3 linked regions of the Schizosaccharomyces pombe genome follow. The gene in region 3 interacts genetically with the main gene of each other region. Each region holds a gene or a part of one and is shown on either strand. Other genes may lie near its edges.

Evidence for each region.
Region 1: mutations in red5 (region 3) and ptr1 impair growth when combined (synthetic growth defect), as found in Schizosaccharomyces pombe (one study listed by BioGRID).
Region 2: mutations in red5 (region 3) and tho4 impair growth when combined (synthetic growth defect), as found in Schizosaccharomyces pombe (one study listed by BioGRID).

Annotation. Positions count from the first base shown.
Region 1 is NC_003424.3:5,206,830-5,212,435, reverse strand, and holds the start of ptr1 (E3 ubiquitin-protein ligase), read right to left. Parts: upstream 3,797-5,606; 5' UTR 3,661-3,796; coding exon 1-3,660. Other genes in the region: terminal uridylyltransferase Cid1, read right to left, coding at 4,301-5,133, 5,235-5,375, 5,480-5,606. UniProt on the Schizosaccharomyces pombe protein: Probable ubiquitin ligase protein involved in mRNA export. E3 ubiquitin ligase proteins mediate ubiquitination and subsequent proteasomal degradation of target proteins.
Region 2 is NC_003423.3:399,658-404,148, forward strand, and holds tho4 (THO complex subunit), read right to left. Parts: upstream 2,709-4,491; 5' UTR 2,693-2,708; coding exon 2,648-2,692; intron 2,607-2,647; coding exon 2,538-2,606; intron 2,485-2,537; coding exon 2,360-2,484; intron 2,343-2,359; exon of another isoform or gene 2,254-2,342; coding exon 2,187-2,253; exon of another isoform or gene 2,027-2,186; coding exon 1,508-2,026; 3' UTR 1,297-1,507; downstream 1-1,296. Other genes in the region: plg7 (1-alkyl-2-acetylglycerophosphocholine esterase), read right to left, coding at 1-1,027; gid9 (ubiquitin ligase complex subunit), read left to right, coding at 3,039-3,266, 3,329-3,850, 3,901-4,365.
Region 3 is NC_003423.3:1,045,623-1,054,115, reverse strand, and holds red5 (zinc finger CCCH domain-containing protein), read right to left. Parts: upstream 2,514-8,493; 5' UTR 2,037-2,513; coding exon 1,994-2,036; exon of another isoform or gene 1,920-1,993; intron 1,784-1,919; exon of another isoform or gene 1,778-1,783; coding exon 1,748-1,777; exon of another isoform or gene 1,703-1,747; coding exon 645-1,702; 3' UTR 501-644; downstream 1-500. Other genes in the region: Gtr1/RagA G protein Gtr1, read left to right, coding at 1-338; SPOM_SPBC337.11 (peptidase), read right to left, coding at 2,824-3,801; dre2 (anamorsin family protein), read left to right, coding at 4,686-5,552; Erg28 protein, read right to left, coding at 5,996-6,173, 6,238-6,328, 6,440-6,581.

The sequences.
Region 1 (5,606 bases), on a different chromosome or scaffold from region 3:
CATCTCAAACTGTGAAACAATGTCATTAGGCATCTCTTTGAGAAGGTAAGCTTGAAAAATTCCATTTTCATGTTTTTCGGATTCTGGCATATCTGTTACAGAGGCATTTGTTTCTTCTAATGAAAAATTGCTATTCGTGTTATCATCCGTCACAACATCCAGTGGTTCTTTAATATCACCATTAGCTATCGATGTCCGCAAATTGTTAATCGAATCCACTACATTTTTGATACCATCTTCAAATTGGTAACAGTTGGACAAAACATTCGTCAATAATGCTCTTGTGATATAAGGAAGGTGTAAGTCGTCAGCAGATCGCCATAAATGCAAAACTGAAATAAAAATTCGGGCATGCAAAACGTGCATAAGTTTTGAACCGCTGTTGTTAAAATCAGTCATATCGAACTCGGATTTTAAAGCCATGTTTAACGTTTTACTTGTTTCGGACATAAAGTCAGCACTTGTGAATACAAGAATCAAGTTCAATAAGGTGGATGAAAGAGCAAGCAAAACACGATTACTCTTGGAAAGAGGATCTCTATCGGACAAACGAAAAAAGCCAGAAACGGTCTCATTTAAGCTAATCAATACATCCATTGTTCGACACCCACCCAGTAGACGACTGATCAGAAGCACAAGAGTAACCTTTGAATCATCTTCTCGAATTATGGATGAAGCACCTAAAACAAAAATTAAGGAGGCCTCTAAAGAAGCAATACTGAGGGATTGCGGATGAGATGTGATTTGCTTGCTTGATAAGTTAATAAGTTCATCAACAACAAGAGCGATATTACTACCAAGTTTATGAATCATTTTGTATTCATTGAAATCTTGTACGCTTGTATTTCCTAAAGCTCGAGTTAATGAAGTGAAAAACTTAGATACTCCATAAGCAATTTGAGAAAAATTCGAACGTATATTCTGAAATTTACAAAAAGATGAATCTTGTGTTAATTCCTTTTTCTTTGTCTCAAACTTTTCTTTTTCATCTTTGTCGGTAACGATGGTAGTCAAGGAGTCACTGCAAAGAACAAAGTCATCAGAAACACCTAAACATATATGTATGTCCAATGATGTTGCAATGCTTTTAATATTACATAAAATATCAAAAATACCAGCATAACGTGAAGGACTAATAAAAAGTTGAACTAATGGAAGATTTCCAGCTTTTTTCAATGCAGCATGGGAAGAAAATAGCTCAGCGAAAATAGTCAGCAAATTCCCAACGATTGAGAAATGTAGAAAATTATTTGCATCTTCGTGGCCCATATTTGAGTCCTTTATCAATGAAATCGTGGCTTGTTTCAGTGAGACTATAGTAAACTCAGTAATGCCTTCTTCACATCGAGTAATTATACAGTCTAGCAAGGGCCGAAAGACCTCTGGAGCATCAAAATCAACTGCATGATGTAAAAGAACAAAAAACGAGTTGAAGGCAGAAGAGTCTATAAATCCAAAAGCCAGTACGGGATGTTGAATGAGATTGAGCACGTGCGACACAATCCCTTTGGATATTAAATACCTTGCGTGACCTTCGTTTGTAATAATATTTTCAAGAAAACTAGAAAATGTTTCAAGATACAACAAATAAGGATATTCTTTGGCATTTATATATTGAAATGGATTGAAATTGTCAAGAAGAGCGGAAACCTGGTCACAGGCTTTAAATATCATCTTCACAATTGGATCTTTAAGGGAGGGTTGATGCCGCATAAGTTCGTCGATGTAAGTACCAAGGATGGCAGCATTATCGCTTGATATAAGTGACTTACAATGATTTAACGATGTGAATATTGAGAAAAGTTGTGGGATAGGATTTTTCTCTAAAAATAAATCAAACCCTTGAGAGTTCAAGCATATTGCACCAAAAGCTAAAGGAATTGATGTTATTGCATCAGAAGAATTGAGTATTTTCCGATTGACAGCATCCAAAAATGCATGTGACAATTTCTTTTCATGAATAATTCCATAGCAAGTAGGCTCATTATGGATGAATGTTGACATTATATTAGTAGTAGATGCGAATAAGTTGGAGCCATAGACTTCATGGTGCTCTAGCAGAAAAGCAAGGGATGAAATGAGAGAAGAATCAATTAAATTACGAAGCTCAACGACAGAGCCACCTGATTGAATTAGATGTAACACAAACTTGAGTAAATTTTTTAGAAGGAAGTAACGGTCATATGAAATGGCATAATCCATATTTAAAACAATCTCTGGGTTACCTTTTCCAGATTTAATATCTTGAAGTCCAGCCTCAAGCTCGTATTGAACACGGTCAACCAGCATATCCAATCCTTTAGACTCAGAAAAATCTGGGAATGCCATAGAGTAACCATCGATGAGATGGTCCAACATGACAATCGATCTTGCTACAACATAAGTAGCCTGTGGAGTCTTCACAGACAGATGATAACCCAAAAGAGAAGTGAGACCTGCAGAACAGGCCATGTTACCGCCAAGAGGCGATGAAGTCATAAATTGAAGGAAGTCATAAAAACTATCAACATATTCTCTCTCGTAATAGAAATTCGGGTTTTCTAAGTTTTTAGAAAAATCACGAACGAGATTCATCATTAATCCGTAACTAACAGATACATTTAAAGATGCCAGTACAGATGGAATCATACTCTTCTTAAAGAAGAAAGCTTTAAAACATTCAAAACAAACAGCTTTAAAGTTTTGAGGAAGATCCACATCTGGAGAAACCAAATTAGCTAAATGGGTGGTGATTTCCGGATCGGCGATTAAAAATCTTGTTTGAACTGCCTGAGAATGAGCATAAACAAGATTAGAAAGAGCCAATAATCCGATACGAATCATCAAGCGCCGTCTATTTATATCATAAAGATTTTGACGTAACATTAGTGAAACAAGGAGATCAAATGAATATTGTTCAGGAATCTGATTATCGTGCAAAGTTTTCACAAGAAGCTCTTCTATAGGCTTTCCAAGAACTTTATTATATGGTAATTTTAAAATCGAAAATCCTTCAGAATTTGGTTGACTTGCAGATGAAAAATCTTTTGATGGAGAGCTTTTATAATAAGAAAGCTCCAAAGAACACCATTCTTGCGGGATCTCATTTGAAAATAACAAAGTCTCGTAATTTTGTGAAAATCCGGTTTTCATTGCATCTTGAGGAAGAAACATTAAAAAGCGAAATAACCGATCTTGTGAAAGAGAAAACAGCTGCTTTCCTCGCTTTGAAATCGTTGCTTTTTGTACAATATGAAGAAGCAAGGCTAATGTAGAATCTATAACTTCGAGCACAGAGCTATTTAATAAATACTCTAGATAAACAGTAGAGTTATATATGGAGCGATTCGCGCAATGACTAAGCAGATGCGCCGAAAAGCTCAGGATCTCTAACAAGATACTCAAAGTGTCAGAATCAAAAGGTTTTGTCTGAACTTTATCCTTTAAAGAATAATGTTCAACAATACGTTCCAGAATAGCATCAAACCTATTCAAAACTGGGACCCATGAATACAAATCGCCACGAGGATATGGCCAATCGTTTTTTCTGAATTCTGAACAAAGAGAGACAAGACCCAAGTCTGAAGTTACTTCTTCATTTTGAGCTTGTCTAATAAACTCAGCAACCCTAGGAGGTGGCTGAGAATATTGATTTTTAGGAGGACTTTTCGTTATCCTCATTTTTGCTTAAAGCATCAAAATCTCGAAATATAGTTAAATACCCACCTTGAGAAAAATGCCAAATTTATTATGTTCTAATGAATTGTACCAACGAACAGAAGGGAAATAGACCCAGCTGAATGTTTGGTAAAAGTTCAAATGTGATGGTTAGCATGCTGCAATGCGTCTACAAATTTGGAAACAATATGAATTTTACGAAAAAATTTGATAAGCTAAAATAATTTCTGTACGCTATAGTAATTAAGAAAAAAAGATAAACTCTTTATATGTGTTTACGCACATTACCGAGGCTAAACGAAAAAATATTTGGTTATTTCCGTTCAATTTAAAGAAATTGATATAAACAATAGCTTAGCATTTGCAATAAATAATTATTAATTATAGATCTATGAAAATTTTTTGGACATTGATGTTAACTATGATGAGCCTATTTTCTCACCAACAAGTAGACTATTAACAAGAGGTTGTACATAAAACAAAGGGGGAAAGGTATTAGAAACAAGAGGTCAAAATTTTTAAAGAAAAATAAAAACATTCCATGCTTTCAAAAGTAAGCAAATAAAAGCAGAGTAATAATGAATGATTACTATGAATCTAGGGGAATGAATATTGATGCGCTTTTTAAGACTTCTTTGTAAAATCACTCAGAATTGTCACCATCGGTTTCATTCAACAATTTTTTGTTAGATTGTTCATCCGTTTTTTTCTGGCGACGAGGCGGAATTGGGGCCTCCTCAAATAATGAATCATAAGGGATAGGATATGAGCGAGAATTGAGCAACCTTGAAGCGGCCATAAATTCCCCTCGAATCCGATACAATCCAGAACTGCTAACTGTCCTACCCACATTATGTGAAATCTCGAAAGGATCTTCAATCGCAAGAATATACCTGTCTTTTATAATTTGATCAGCCGATCCAGTGTGTTCAGTAGCTGAAGTCCATCCTTTCTCTTGCTTTGTGAGGTAACCGTCTGGTCTACGAAAAGTTACTACCTTTTCCCGTGGCTCGAACTTATAAGCATAAAATCTAAAAAAGCCATGAAGTAAACTTCCCAATGAGCTATAATTTTGGGAAGGAGGGATATCTTCCAGTTTATCGTCAAAACCAACGTCAAATCCATCAACTATCTTTTCTTGTTTCAAAGGTGACAACAGTAAATTAGGAAAGACGGGAGGCTTGATAACGTGAATCAGATAGTAAAGAACCATTAGGACGTAACCATAACTGGAAAGAGTTCCAAAGTAAGGAGAGTTGATTTGCTTCCGTTTGGCCCAATGCTTAACAAGAAGGACCATGGGTTTTAGGCGAGCATCTAATTTTGTATATGAAGAAAGTAAAAGCGTATTATGAATAGCTAGACGATTGTTAAATCCAATATCACATTGAAACGAAGCCCCAAATCCATTTTTCGTATCAGATGTTAATTTGATAATGGGAATTCTTGCCCTTTGTAAAAATTTTCCTTCAAATCCTGTCGATAGTTAGTTATGCGAGCCAACTGGAAAGGAAAAAAACAATATTCAGAGATAGTTTGTCTAAACTGAATAACTTTTAATGAATAATTATACTTACCTTCAGCTATAAGCTCTTCATAGAATTGGAGCGCAATTGTATCACTTTGGACGCGCGAATCCATAAGCACGCACAAATCCATATCCGAATTTTTAAGTGCTAAACCAGATTCCAAACTTCCAAAGGCTACCAATTCAGCATCTAAGTCACATATCATTAGAATTGGACATTATCAATATTTGGTAAAGTCTCCACTCTCGTTAACTACATAATTGAGACAGTCCTAAATTTATATTCAAACATACCAGGGGATATTCGTTTAAGGCATAGCCGAAGTGTATCTAATGCCGCTCTCTTTTCTTTAAACTCTTTGTCACTAATTTTAATCTCATTATACACTTCATAGCAAAACTTCGTAAATTCCTTGTGCGA
Region 2 (4,491 bases), 650 kb from region 3:
CGCCTGCGTTTTGGTTTTCTGAATCCTTGTTTACAAGCCAACTTTCGAGAGCTTGAAAATTGTCGACAAACCGACGAAATTCGTAAGATATAATCATGAGCGTAGGATACCTCATCGTACTCAAATGGAGCTGGCGTACGGGAAGCATCCATATATCGTATAAAATGGAGCACTTAAACTCAGTGTGAAACATATAGTCATTATATAAGGACTTGGTAGAAGAACCGGAAATGAATGCGCAAGTAGCGGCACCAAAAGAATGACCAGCAACAATCAATTCTCCTTGAGCGGTATTCAAATTACCCTTCATGGATTGGAAAACAGAATTATAAAAAGAAGAGTCCACAGAGCAAAGAAAGGGTAAGTTTTCGTCCGGAGTTCCAAGGTCATTGATATTTCGAATCATCTGGAGGGCTATTTGGATTTCCTGCTGTCGAAATAAAAGTCGTTCATTCTGAAGCACAACCGTAGCGTCTGCATAAAAGTCGCTTATCTCGCGATACTGAACAACGTACGGGGGTTCTTCAGGATGTAATGGATCACGCACTGTAGATATGATGGCCGAGTTATCTCTATGCTCCATGGCCAAGACGACGATACCATAGGAAGCGATTGTACCACATAACGAAGAATACACATTTCTCGAGCCAACCAATCCATGGCTGAAGATAAATACTGGCAGTTTCCCATTGTTCGGTGGATGAAACAACTCTCCTTTGTAGACGGGCAAAGCTAAGTTGGTCAAACCAGAAGCGAACGCACGAAGAAGCCACCAACGAAAACCTTTCGCAACTTCGGGTATACCCTCATGGAATGGTAACCAAAGCTCATCGGTGCGAGGCTCTACATCTTTTGTTGGGTCCAATGGATAAAAAATGCGTACTTTTACGGTTCTTAGTTTGTGTTCAATGGTTTTATATTCACATCGAAATTCCTCTGGAACACTCAGCTCTAAGACTAAAGACCCCACAGGCAAGGGACCACAGTAGGCAGGTAATTGCTTTTTCGAAGAAAATCCCAATCCCATTTCTACCTAACAAATAAGAATGTAATGTAGAAATATATAAATTTATTTTATTTTAAAGAATGAAAGATTGTGTCAAAAACGATTCAATCAAATTACAAGAGCACAGTGATGATGTATTGTTAATTGCTATGATCACTGTAGTAGGAATAGAATGGAATAATGCCAGAAACAAAAACAAAATATCTCTTTCGTTAACAAGCACTTATAAACATAAATAAAAAAAATAAAATTAATAAATTTTTGGCCTTGCAAGGTAATATGAATCTGTCTGCTGCAAATTTTAATTTTTGGTACGATTCGTACGATTGTGGTAGAAGAAGGAAGACGATGGAAATTGACGAGCATCTATATATAAAGTAAGGGGTTATGATGAAAGATGTCCTTTTAGCCGGTTCGTTTTTATAATGTACAAATCAAAGCAATTGACTCAATAATCAACTTTTGGCATAGGAAAAGGGTTACTTGCACAGCAATTCGAGCTTAAACCGCTTCCATTTGGAGGTCCATCTCCTCGGTCAAATTACTATCTTTTGAAGGAGCAACAGGCTCGTTTTTCTCATGAGCATTGGCTATTGACGGTGTGAAATCCTGTGATGAGTGAGATGACACAGTTGAAGCAGCGTGAAATGACATTGCGTATTCGTCAAGTTCTTTGTCTAAATCTTCGTGTGAAATTGAATTATTAGAAGACTTTTTTGAAGAAGAACGAAATGATCTGTCGTCTTTTTTTGAAGAACGGTTGAATCCTCGGTTCGAACGAGAAGACCGGCTTGGTTTGCGGGCTGAATGTGGCATGTCGGAAATCCGATCGAATAAGGAAGGTGGAGACTTTTTCGAAATTTGAATTTCGGAGCCCTTCAAGTTCGTAGATTGAAGCGTCTTCTGGGCATCTTCAGCATCTTGGGAAGTTTCAAAGTAAACATCGCAGGAGCCTTCAGAGCGACCTGCACGATCATAGTTCATAATCACGCGAATTGGATGGAAATTTTCAAACAAAGACTTAAGAAAAGGTTAGTTTATTAATAAAAAAAGCGATTCGAAATCGGAACAAAGCTCTACTTAGCTTGACAGGGAGATTTTTTGTCAGGTTCGTTTCATAATCTTCAATCGAAAACTAAAAGCGAGGCTTTTGAAAACATAGTAAACATATATCACTTACCAAAACATCTTTTTCCAAAACCTGATAATGTAAGTTTTCCACACGAACCCCAAATCGATTTTCTGAGCTAAGATTGCTGTGTTAGTATATAATGATAATAACAGTGCATGTAGACTAAGAGCTAATAGAGTAATAAAAAAGTTTACAGCTTATCTTATAAATTCAAAACATACTGTTGTCTTTTCTGTAGGTGAGTGGTCCTTGGATGAGCATCCTGCTCTTGATCCAAGTCATGCTGCCACGGGCCATCGTCTGGACTAGAGTTGTGTTCTTTTGATGCTCTTTTGAATTTGTAGGTCTTAAAAAGTAAAAAATTAGTAAATAAACACTTAATCCTCGAAATTAGCATACCAATCGCGATTTTTTGGAAATACGATTTTGAGATCCCCTTCGCCGACTGTGCTTGTGATCAAAACCATTCTAGGATTGTTAAAACAAATATCGAAAATAAAAAAATTTACCGTTCTTTCATTTATAATTTCGTCCAAGGACTTTTCCAGCGACATTTGAAAATTGGTACTTGGCACGAAAATGTCGACTGGTAAAAATTAACCCGGGGCATTCCAAAAAGGAGATTTCCATACCAATTGCAGATTTTCCTGACATAAATTAATATATGCACCTCTTTTTTTATTGTTTTTTAGCTCTCCTTATTTTTCATTCATCTTGCACTACGGTCCTAGAAAGTGTATCTTTCGCCAACAACCCATCGTCTTTCTGCAATTGCTGTTTTCCTTACATTTAAACAAATTCTTCTAATTACTTTCTTATTCTTAAAATATTCAATATTCTTTAGTTGATTTAAATTTTTGGGTCCATCTACCAATAGTTTGTTAGACTTTGCCTTCAAACATGAATTTTCGTCCAGAGCAGCAATATATACTTGAAAAGCCTGGTATTCTTCTCTCTTTTGAGCAATTGCGCATTAACTTCAAACACATTTTGCGGCACTTGGAGCATGAATCGCATGTGATCAATTCCACATTGACAACGTTGATCAGTCAAGAGAATGCATCAATGGATGAAAAAATAGAAAAAATAGATTCTCTCCTTTCAAGAGTCAGTACTGTAAAGAAGAAGGTAAGTTTGATTGATTCTTTTTTTGAGTTGGATATTTGTAACTTACATGGTTCTTTGTGTAGATGAAGCATTTGCATGATTGTGAAGCTCTGTTTATCAAGCAAACTAAGTCACGACTGTTGTTCATGAATCGTCTTCAAGGAATTCGTGACATGGAATCTGCGGATTTTTTAGATTGGTCAAGAGTCAGACTGAATCGTTTAGTTGCTGATTATATGATGGCGAATGGGTACCATGGGGCAGCTGCTCTACTTTGTAAAGACTCTCAGTTGGAGAATTTGGTTGATTTAGGCATATATAAGCGTTATCAGCTCATTCACGATTCCATTCTTCAACAGGAGCTCAAAGAGGTTTTGTCTTGGTGTTCGGAGCATCGAGCAATTTTAAAAAAAAATAATAGTACATTAGAGCTTGAGGTCCGACTACAGAGATTTATAGAATTAATAAAAAGTAAAAAACTTTGCCAAGCCATTGCATTCGCCAAAGCGCACTTCGGTACTTGGGCAAATGAACATCCTGCTCGACTACAGCTAGCGGCTGCCCTACTAGCTTTTCCTGAATTTACGAATGGTTCACCATATTCGGTAAGTTTACATTGAGAGACCTCTGCTCTTAGCTTATACTGACAAATTAGTTGCTTCTATCCGATGACCGATGGGAATATTTGGCTTCCTTGTTTACCAGCAATTTTACTGCCGTTCATAATATACCGTCTGTACCTCTTTTACATGCATTGTTAGCTGCTGGTCTATCTTCCCTGAAAACCCCGTTGTGTTATCTTGACGCGAATGATGATAATCCTTTAGCATTACAATCCCAGACTGTGAAACAATGCCCTGTATGTACGCCCTGCTTAAATGACCTTGGCAAAGCTCTTCCTTATGCCCATATTACTCAGTCTGCGATAGTGGATTCTCTGACAGGCGAAGGACTTGACAGCGACAATTGTCCTGTTGCTTTCCCGAACGGTCGAGTTTATGGTATCCAGAGCCTCATAAGTTGGAACGAAGCTAATGGGACTAGAGAAGGATTTCTTAGAGACCCTTATTCTGGCAAAGAGTTTCCATTCCAACTTCTTCGTAAAGTTTATGTGGTTTGATACTGTTTATTCTATAACGCATTTTCTGTGAGTTAAGGATTTACACTTTTTATGATGACGCTACGAGATTTATATGTTTATCTTTAATAATGATAGTAATTTATATTATTAAATTCACTTCCAGTA
Region 3 (8,493 bases):
AGGTAATATTATTTGAAAGAACAACATTTTTGGTTATTTCTTCTTATTCTTCTGAGTCCAATCCTGCCACTGATGCTCACAGGTTCGAAAAAATTAGCAATATTGTTAAGCAATTTAAACTCAGTTGTAGCAAAATGCAAGCTCAATTTACTACTTTTGAGCTTCGTGGTGGTAATTTCTCTGCATTCATTGTTCCATATACTGAGGACACATACATATTGGTGGTCATTGCTGATCCAGAAATCGAATCAGCAGTAACCCTTATGAACATTCAAAGTGCTCGACGATTTATAGAAGCTTCAAAGAGCGCTTCGGACGGTATTCAACTGCAACCTTAATTTTCCGTTTGATAGATCCATCAATCTTGTTCTTTTTTCTTTGATAATCGTAAAAAATGTGGATCTAATGTATTTTACTCTTGTTGCTGTAATTACCTAGCCTCTTAGTTTTAGTCTTTAAAAAATAATATTCTTTATCAACTAGTTGAAATCTTTTTCTATTTTCTTTCTAAATCTTATGATATTTTTTAAAAATTTATTGTATTCAATTAATAGAAAATTATAACTCATTATCATCAAAAGTTTAGACATTGCGTAACTACACGATAATTTAATTCTACAAGATCAAACTGCTAAACGAATTATCTAAACGGATATAAAATCCAAGTTGCTTTCTAAGGAATTACTTCCAATTTCCGATCCAGAGTCTTCTGGATTTATAGAACCAGCAGTCTTCGATATTGGAGCTTCTGTTTGTTCTGGTACATCAGCGGAAACAGCACCATGATAGAGAGAGCATTGTGGATTATTACACGAACCAAACATAGCATAATCGGTACACTGAAGAATATGTTGATTTTTGCAAGACGTCCCTAACTCACAGAAACCGTACTTGGCAAATTCAAAACATATAGGGGCATTTTCAGAGTAATGAATGTGCACATATCGACAATTTGGGTTATTGCATTTTCCTAATAGAAAATACCGGCATGCAGGAATTCGTCTGGGATCTAATTCATGTGACAAATTACAATCTTCTGCTTTATTACATCGACCATTCAAAAATTTCGGACATATCGTTTTGCGGGTGGGCTCATGCACGAATCTGCATGCTGCTCCCTTCCCACAAATTCCATTAGCATTATAATAACGGCAATAAACAGCTGAAGGTGAATTTCCAACCTCCTTGAGAAACCTCTTCTTTTTAAGAAGATAAGACTTATTATTCCAATATAAATATTTTGGACATTGTCCCTTAGCACTAACAAATTCCAACCACTTGGTATCAGATACACCGGTAATATACTGCAGTCCGTCAATAGTTACTAATTGTTTAGTACCATCGGATAATCTTTGCTGGATTTTATTTTCGGCTAAAGTTTTGTATTCTTTCTCAAGCTTGGCTCTGTAGCTCTCCAAATTAGCTTTTCTCGCTTGCAAATCATGTTCAAGAATATTTTTTTTAATCAGTTGCATATGTCTGTTTTTCCGTGATACATAGTCAGATGTGGATTGTTTTTCAGGTTCCTTATTGGCATCGTCTGCATTCGATGATGTTGACGGTATCACATATGGAGGGCTAGCAGCTGTCGATTTCGAGCGATTGGATTTATTGAGGATAAAAGAATAGTTCCTAGAAACAGAATAGGGATACGAACGAGTATTCTTATTTGCTTTAGCGGCATCTAAAACCTGGGTAGGTTCTGCTAAAATCATGAGTCAAAGTTCCTCATAAATGGGCATCTTACCTTTTTCATTTTTATATTGATTGATAGCACCTAAAGGTTAGTTATATTATTACTGAGCGTTTCATAAATAAAGAAACATAAAGATATTTTTTTGCATAAAATCTGTCTCCTTGAAAATCCTAATTATTCATTGGTTTCAAAAACCAAAAAGCTCATTAGTTAAACCAATCCAACTTCAAAGTCGACCAAATTTATTCTGTATAACAGACAATCAAAAGACGTTAATACAATTTAATCAAAACGTACCAGCTAATGAAGCAATATTTTCCAGCAATTGTTGCTCGTTCATTGTGAATGCCGCCTAGAACTAATAAATAAATATAACGAACGGATGTTTTTTTTTGTAAAATAAACCAACAGCTTTAATGTCTTTTATTGAACTTGAATCGTCCAAGTATTTCCTGTTTTAAACCACCACTTGATATATTATGCAAAAGCTCTTGTTTGCTCAATGTTTTAAAATGAGTGGTTTTCCACTTTAATGGTCTTTCGTTCTATAAGTGAATCTTTTAAAAAAAAGTCTTTGAGAACCTTTCCTTAAACAAAACTGTTTAAGTTAAATGCCCAAATAATTGAACGACAACGATTAACCAAGGTCTTTACTTTTTTTAACGACAGGCAAGAGCTTATATGTTTGACAATGACCTTTTTGAAAACGTCGTTACAAAAACAAAAAAACTATGAAAAAGTCCTTGAAATAAATTCTTACAGTAATTAGATGTGGTAAGGTATTTCTAAGTCGACAGATTAGAGTAGCGTAGTCGGTGGCACCAACAATGTCGGAGTAGCATCAATGTAATTACCGACGCTTTATAACGATATTTTAAAAAAAACTATCTTAAATTATCAGTATTAAAACAATATTGCTTTAATTATAATGAAATCCTTTTTACTTAATTTAAATAATCCTTCTTTAAAGCGTAGCTCAAAATTGTTTTTTTCATTAACGAATAGATACCTCTTTATAATAATAATAATAATAAACGATATGAAAGATCAAAGCAAATATTTATAGTTCTTTTAAAATTTACTGATTATACAGAAAAAACAATTTGGTAAGTCTGTATTTCGGACGCTTAATTTGTGCTCATAGTAATCACAAACTTTGTAGAACATTCATTCATAAGTTTTCTATATGAATTTATACATTCATCAGTAAGAGATGTTTCAGCAATTTTCTTGTTTAATACCTTATATTTCCCTGCTTCAAACTTGGCGACCATATTCTTTAATAGTGAGTTTGATTCCACTAACGAAAGTAAGAGAGAATTGCACCCAATAATCTTCAGATTTTTGCGATATATTTGTTTCATGTCATACGAAAATTCTATACTCCCTTGCTTAGGTGCGGAAATATAAGACAACCTTCCCCCTATTCCCAATTGATTGAGAGCCGATTTCATCAACAAAGGATCGCCCACCGTATCGATTACCACATCAACTTTCTCAACCAATTCGTGGACCCTTTTTAATTCCGGATCCACCACTGTATTGATATCGGTTGAGCCGCTCCTAGACACTGTGATTACCTTACATCCCCAATCCTCTGCTATTTGACAAACAGCCGACCCGACAGCACCTAAGGCTCCAACCACTAGTACTATATCGCTGCCTTTGGTTTCTCCTCTGCTTAAAGCCAAATAAGCGGTTGTAAAAGGGACACCGACTGATGCTGCCTCAGTAAACGACAAATTGCTTGGCATACGAACAGCTGCTTTTTCCGGTATTATGCAGTATTCAGCATGAGTACCGTCTTTAGTGAATGATAGTTCGCTACCGCTCGTTCCAAACACTCGAGTTCCTACTAAATGAGATGCGCCACTAATTACAGTACCAGCATAATCTCGCCCAACGATTCGAGGATAAACAGTATACGGGAAACCCCCTGTTGCGTTCATTAGATCACTGGGGTTGATGGCAGCAGCTTCAATTTTTACAAGCAACTCTCCATTCTTTGGTTGGGGAATAGGAACACTCTGAATTTCAATACCCAAACAACCTGGCTTCGGTTTTTTTAACATTCGTAACGCCTTCATCATTTGATAGTATTGCATTTAATAAATCCTTCTTTTTGAAGTAAAAAACCCTCTAGTCTTACATAAAGTTATCATTATTATCTTATACAGTCGATATGTAATTTGTATATGACACCCACGGCAAAATACGAATATCAAATTTCTCGAAAAAACACAGGGCTAAAAATATTTGACTATTAAATGTAAATTACCAAAAAAATGGTTCTCAAAGCTGGAAATAGTTGCGTGCAGCCAAAAGTACAACACAAGTTTTCACTTGACCCGACATTTCAGTCGATTAGCCGGTGATTCCGTTGACTTGTTCGATCAGTATGAACAAAGTAGAAATCAATGACTTACCGAAATGCGCAGTACTTCATAAGCATAAATAACGATATATAAGAAAACCACAATATTGTTTTAGCTATATGCCTTACAGTGCCACATGATTGGATTCTATTCATTTTAAGACATGCTGACGGATTACCAATCAACAGGTTAAATTTACAGCGTCGCCACTTGTGGTAAATAGAATTTAACAAGAACAAAATACTAATCATTCCTTTTTTTTATTGTTTGAGTATTATTTCTCTATAATTGATCATTTCATAACGTTAAGGCGTGGAAATTTTCATATTATATCTACAGATAACTTTTTTGTTTATCCGTTGATTAAAAGAAAAATTTTACCACTTTCAGACCGGTAAAAGGAAGACAGTTTTTGACTTTTTTCTAATTGTCTGTACATACGTTACAACGATCTAGATTTCGTTTTTATTTTTATTATTGATAGTGTTTTTTGTATTCGTTGGTGGGTTTACTTACCAATTGCTAAGGGTTTCATTTCGCTGAAACGTGTAATAATATAATAATTTTAATTACTTTTTTTGCTTTTGTTTAAGCTGTTAATATCTTCTCTCAATATGTCATCTTCTGTCCTTGTTTTGACGTCTCCCGGCTTTGCTTCAAAAGAGGAGTCTTTGAAAAAAGTTTTTGACCTTATCGATAATGGTGCTTCTAGAGAGTTGCAAATGATAGATCGCGTCCAATCTCAACTTGTTAATTTACCCATCAATCGATATGATTCAGTTATTGCTGCCATTGATGATGGTGCATGGTCTTCAACTCTAGGACCTATACTTTCACAAGCCTTTGCATCAGTACATCCTGGAGGAACACTTCGTGTTTATTCTACTGCCGATGAAGCAGACGAGTCATTTGAAATGACAGCTTTGCTATCTGGATGGCTTATTGAATCAAAGAGTCCTTGGATTTTATCTCGTCCCAATCAGGTGGAAGCAGTTCCCATTAAATTATCAAACAAAAATGGTCAATCAGCGAGCAAAAACAAAATTCTTGATTTCTTAAAATCTGACAAGGAAAACCTTATTAGTGGTGATGATGATCAAGAACTCATCGATGAAGATGAGTTGTTAGACGAAAGTGCCCACGATAATGTTTTAAAAGTGCCCGAGTGCAAACCTGAACCTGGAAAGAAAAAGCGTGCTTGCAAGAACTGTACCTGTGGATTACGTGAAATGGAAGAACACGAGTCTTCCAAGACATCCGCACAGTTAGAAGCTGTAAAACTTACAGACACCACCGAAGTTGATTTCACCGAGAAGCTCAAGAGTAAAAATGCCGTCTCAAGTTGCGGAAATTGCTATCTTGGCGACGCTTTTCGTTGTAGTGGATGCCCGTATATAGGAATGCCTGCCTTCAATCCCGGTGACACAGTTATATTGGCTGAAAATCGTGACAAGATGTCCTGGATGGCTGATGACATTTAATTTATGGTTATCTTGTAATTGAGATGTTCCGGTTTATGAATGACCGTACTGCAGTTCTATTGCCTAATTGAAACTAAAGTTAAATACTTTTTTTTGTTAACATTTGTTTTTAATTCCGATATTTGCTATGATTTTGTAAGTTCTGGTTAAGTTTGAACTAACAATGTTGCAAATTGAAGTTGAAGTGGTTATATTACTATTGGTTTTTAGTCCCTACTATGTCTTTGGGCAAAGAAATCGAAAAACAAGACACCATGCTTTTCCTTAATTTTTTTAAAATCATCAACATTCTAGAATCTAAACTAAAAATTTGAAGAATGGTTTAGAAATAGAACCATTGCATTAAAGCCCGAAGGCATAAAAATGATGGATTTATGTTGATTCTTTTTCTTCTCTTCTCTCCAAGCAATATAGTATACGTAAAATGGGGGAGTAAAAAAAGGTTAAGCAGCGATCCCCAAAATCGAGGCTTTTTCTTTCGCCATAAACCAAATGCTAACGGTCGATACCACAATTGGACTCAACAATCCTGGTCCCAAGTTAGTAGTACGGAACAAAAGCCATTCAGATAGGAAATGAAAGCAGGCTAAATAATATGTGCATTGGCATAGAAAATACACACTAATAGAAGTTAGACAATATCAGATGATTTTGGAAATTGAATGTTTGATTTGATTCAACATACTCTGGATTTGTTATATGATATGCGCAATAAAAACGCACTATGGCACTTAGTAATGTCCAGATGCCAAAAGTACGACCTTGTAATCCATTGACTACAGATATAAAGTCAGCAAAAAATAATCAGCTAATAAAAAAAAGCATCATTAAAGAGCTTATTATGTGTATTATAAATCAATTAAACTCGTAAAAACCATGATTCTTACCTTCGTTAGTGTTGCTATATACACGCTTAGTCAACTTTGGAGTCAAAAACGATTGAACGGTATTGAAAAGCGCCGCTACACTGACCACAACATTCCATTTGGCAACTAAACTATCTGGGAGCATAGCTAGTATTTGAGACATTGTTATTTCTTAGGATATTAAATTTCTAGTAGTGTGTAGTTGAGGGATTACAGTACTAAATTGGAGAAAAGCGACTGTGAGCAATTTATAACATTGACAGGTTTTGCACTAACTTAATTAGTAAAATCGATGCGAACATTATGTTTTATATCGCTATGCTAAGACAGATTTAGTATAATAAAACAACAAAGTAAGCTTATTTTCAATGTAAAAAGAGATGCTTTTTTACTGAGGTTTCAAAGAGATTTCTTTTTCAGTGCTGATTTCGGGTTGGGATTTACCGGTGAGAATATCCTTACAACTAGGTTATTGCATAAGTAACGTCCCGGTGAATTGTTGACATTGTACGATTGTGATAACTGGGGCTGACTTAGCACATTAGCAATTAGAAAGGTAGTAAGAGATCCTCGTCTACTTATATTTTCGTATATCTTAGTAAAAACACGAAAGGATTCTACCAAGGATCAAATATACATAGCCGAATTGCTGTCCAAAAAATGGCAAGAATGTATACTTTTATTAAGTACCGGCTTTACTATTTTTAATTTACATAACTTGATAGTAGAGTTTTCAAAAATCCAAGTAACCTTAGAACCATAATCAGGAGAATTAATTATTTTAATGATCTTATTGTAAGTAACCCACCGTTTGTACGGAAACACTTATGTAAATACTAGGGATGGGTTGATACTACTTGTACAATTGTAACCTGGAACAGCTCAAAGTAGATGAGTATTCTAATATTTCAGGTTGGCGGTTAACTTATTGATTAGCAAAATATATTATACTCCGTGTGCTACATAAGAAATTAGTAGAATTCCATATGAATAAGAAATCTGCGTTTTAAAACCTAACATCTATATAAATTATTCATTAAAAAAGCATTAAACTATGCTAATTATCGCTAAGAAGCATGAGCGCAGCTTACTCCAAATTCCCAGTCACAAACCTGACCCACATCAAAAAAAAGTATAAACATCAAAATTTACAAAGAGCACATATATCGTAGACCATGGTATCTTTCGGATTATGCTTCTAATGATGATAAACAATACTTTAAGGATGTAAAACGATTTTTAATAATCGTTCGTATTGTCGACTTTTTTTTTATTTTCGTCTTTTAAATCGCACATGATTTTATAGTCTTGTCATTATTTTCTCATTCAACCACAAAGGAAAGCACATTTATGAGCAAATTTCATTCAAATATTGAAATTGGAAAAGATAATGTTGTTTAATTGTTCTTCAAATTGTGGATATCTATTTGAACGGCCTAGGACTAGAAAAATGTTAATTCCTCCTTTGTAGCGACACATCTACACTGAAATGGACAGTAACTCTGCTGATAGAAGTTAGTCGTTATCTTTCCTATTCGTACCAAGCATCTTATCTTTTAAGACATGTTTACTTTTTATTCGTTCGTTTTAAAGTACAACAATATGCTTATTTGACATGGATTTATCAACAGCTACCCAACTACCTATGCACTAGAAATATGTCTCCCAAAGTGTCTGTGCGTAAACAGATATTTATCCTATTTCATTTTGTACTGTTGCATCGTTTCCTCTCGTACTAGTCGTTTTGCAAAGCCACGTTAATGATCGATATGTTTGAATTGCAGACACCATTTCACATTGCGATAAGGGGGATTCCTGTATTTTTTTGGTCACTGACTAATTTTGACACCGAGGTGACATCATATCGTCTAGGAATCTTTGTTGCGTACACAGTAGACAACATGGCATACGAACGAATCGATGCAATGTATATTTATAAACACAACAAAAATTTGAGTGCATATGCTTCAATTTCTATACATAAATGTATTTAGAAAAAACTATCGTATTGGAGATTGTATTTAAATTTTGATTTTATGAATGAGTGAAAAATGAGGAGCAGTGGCGACGTCTAT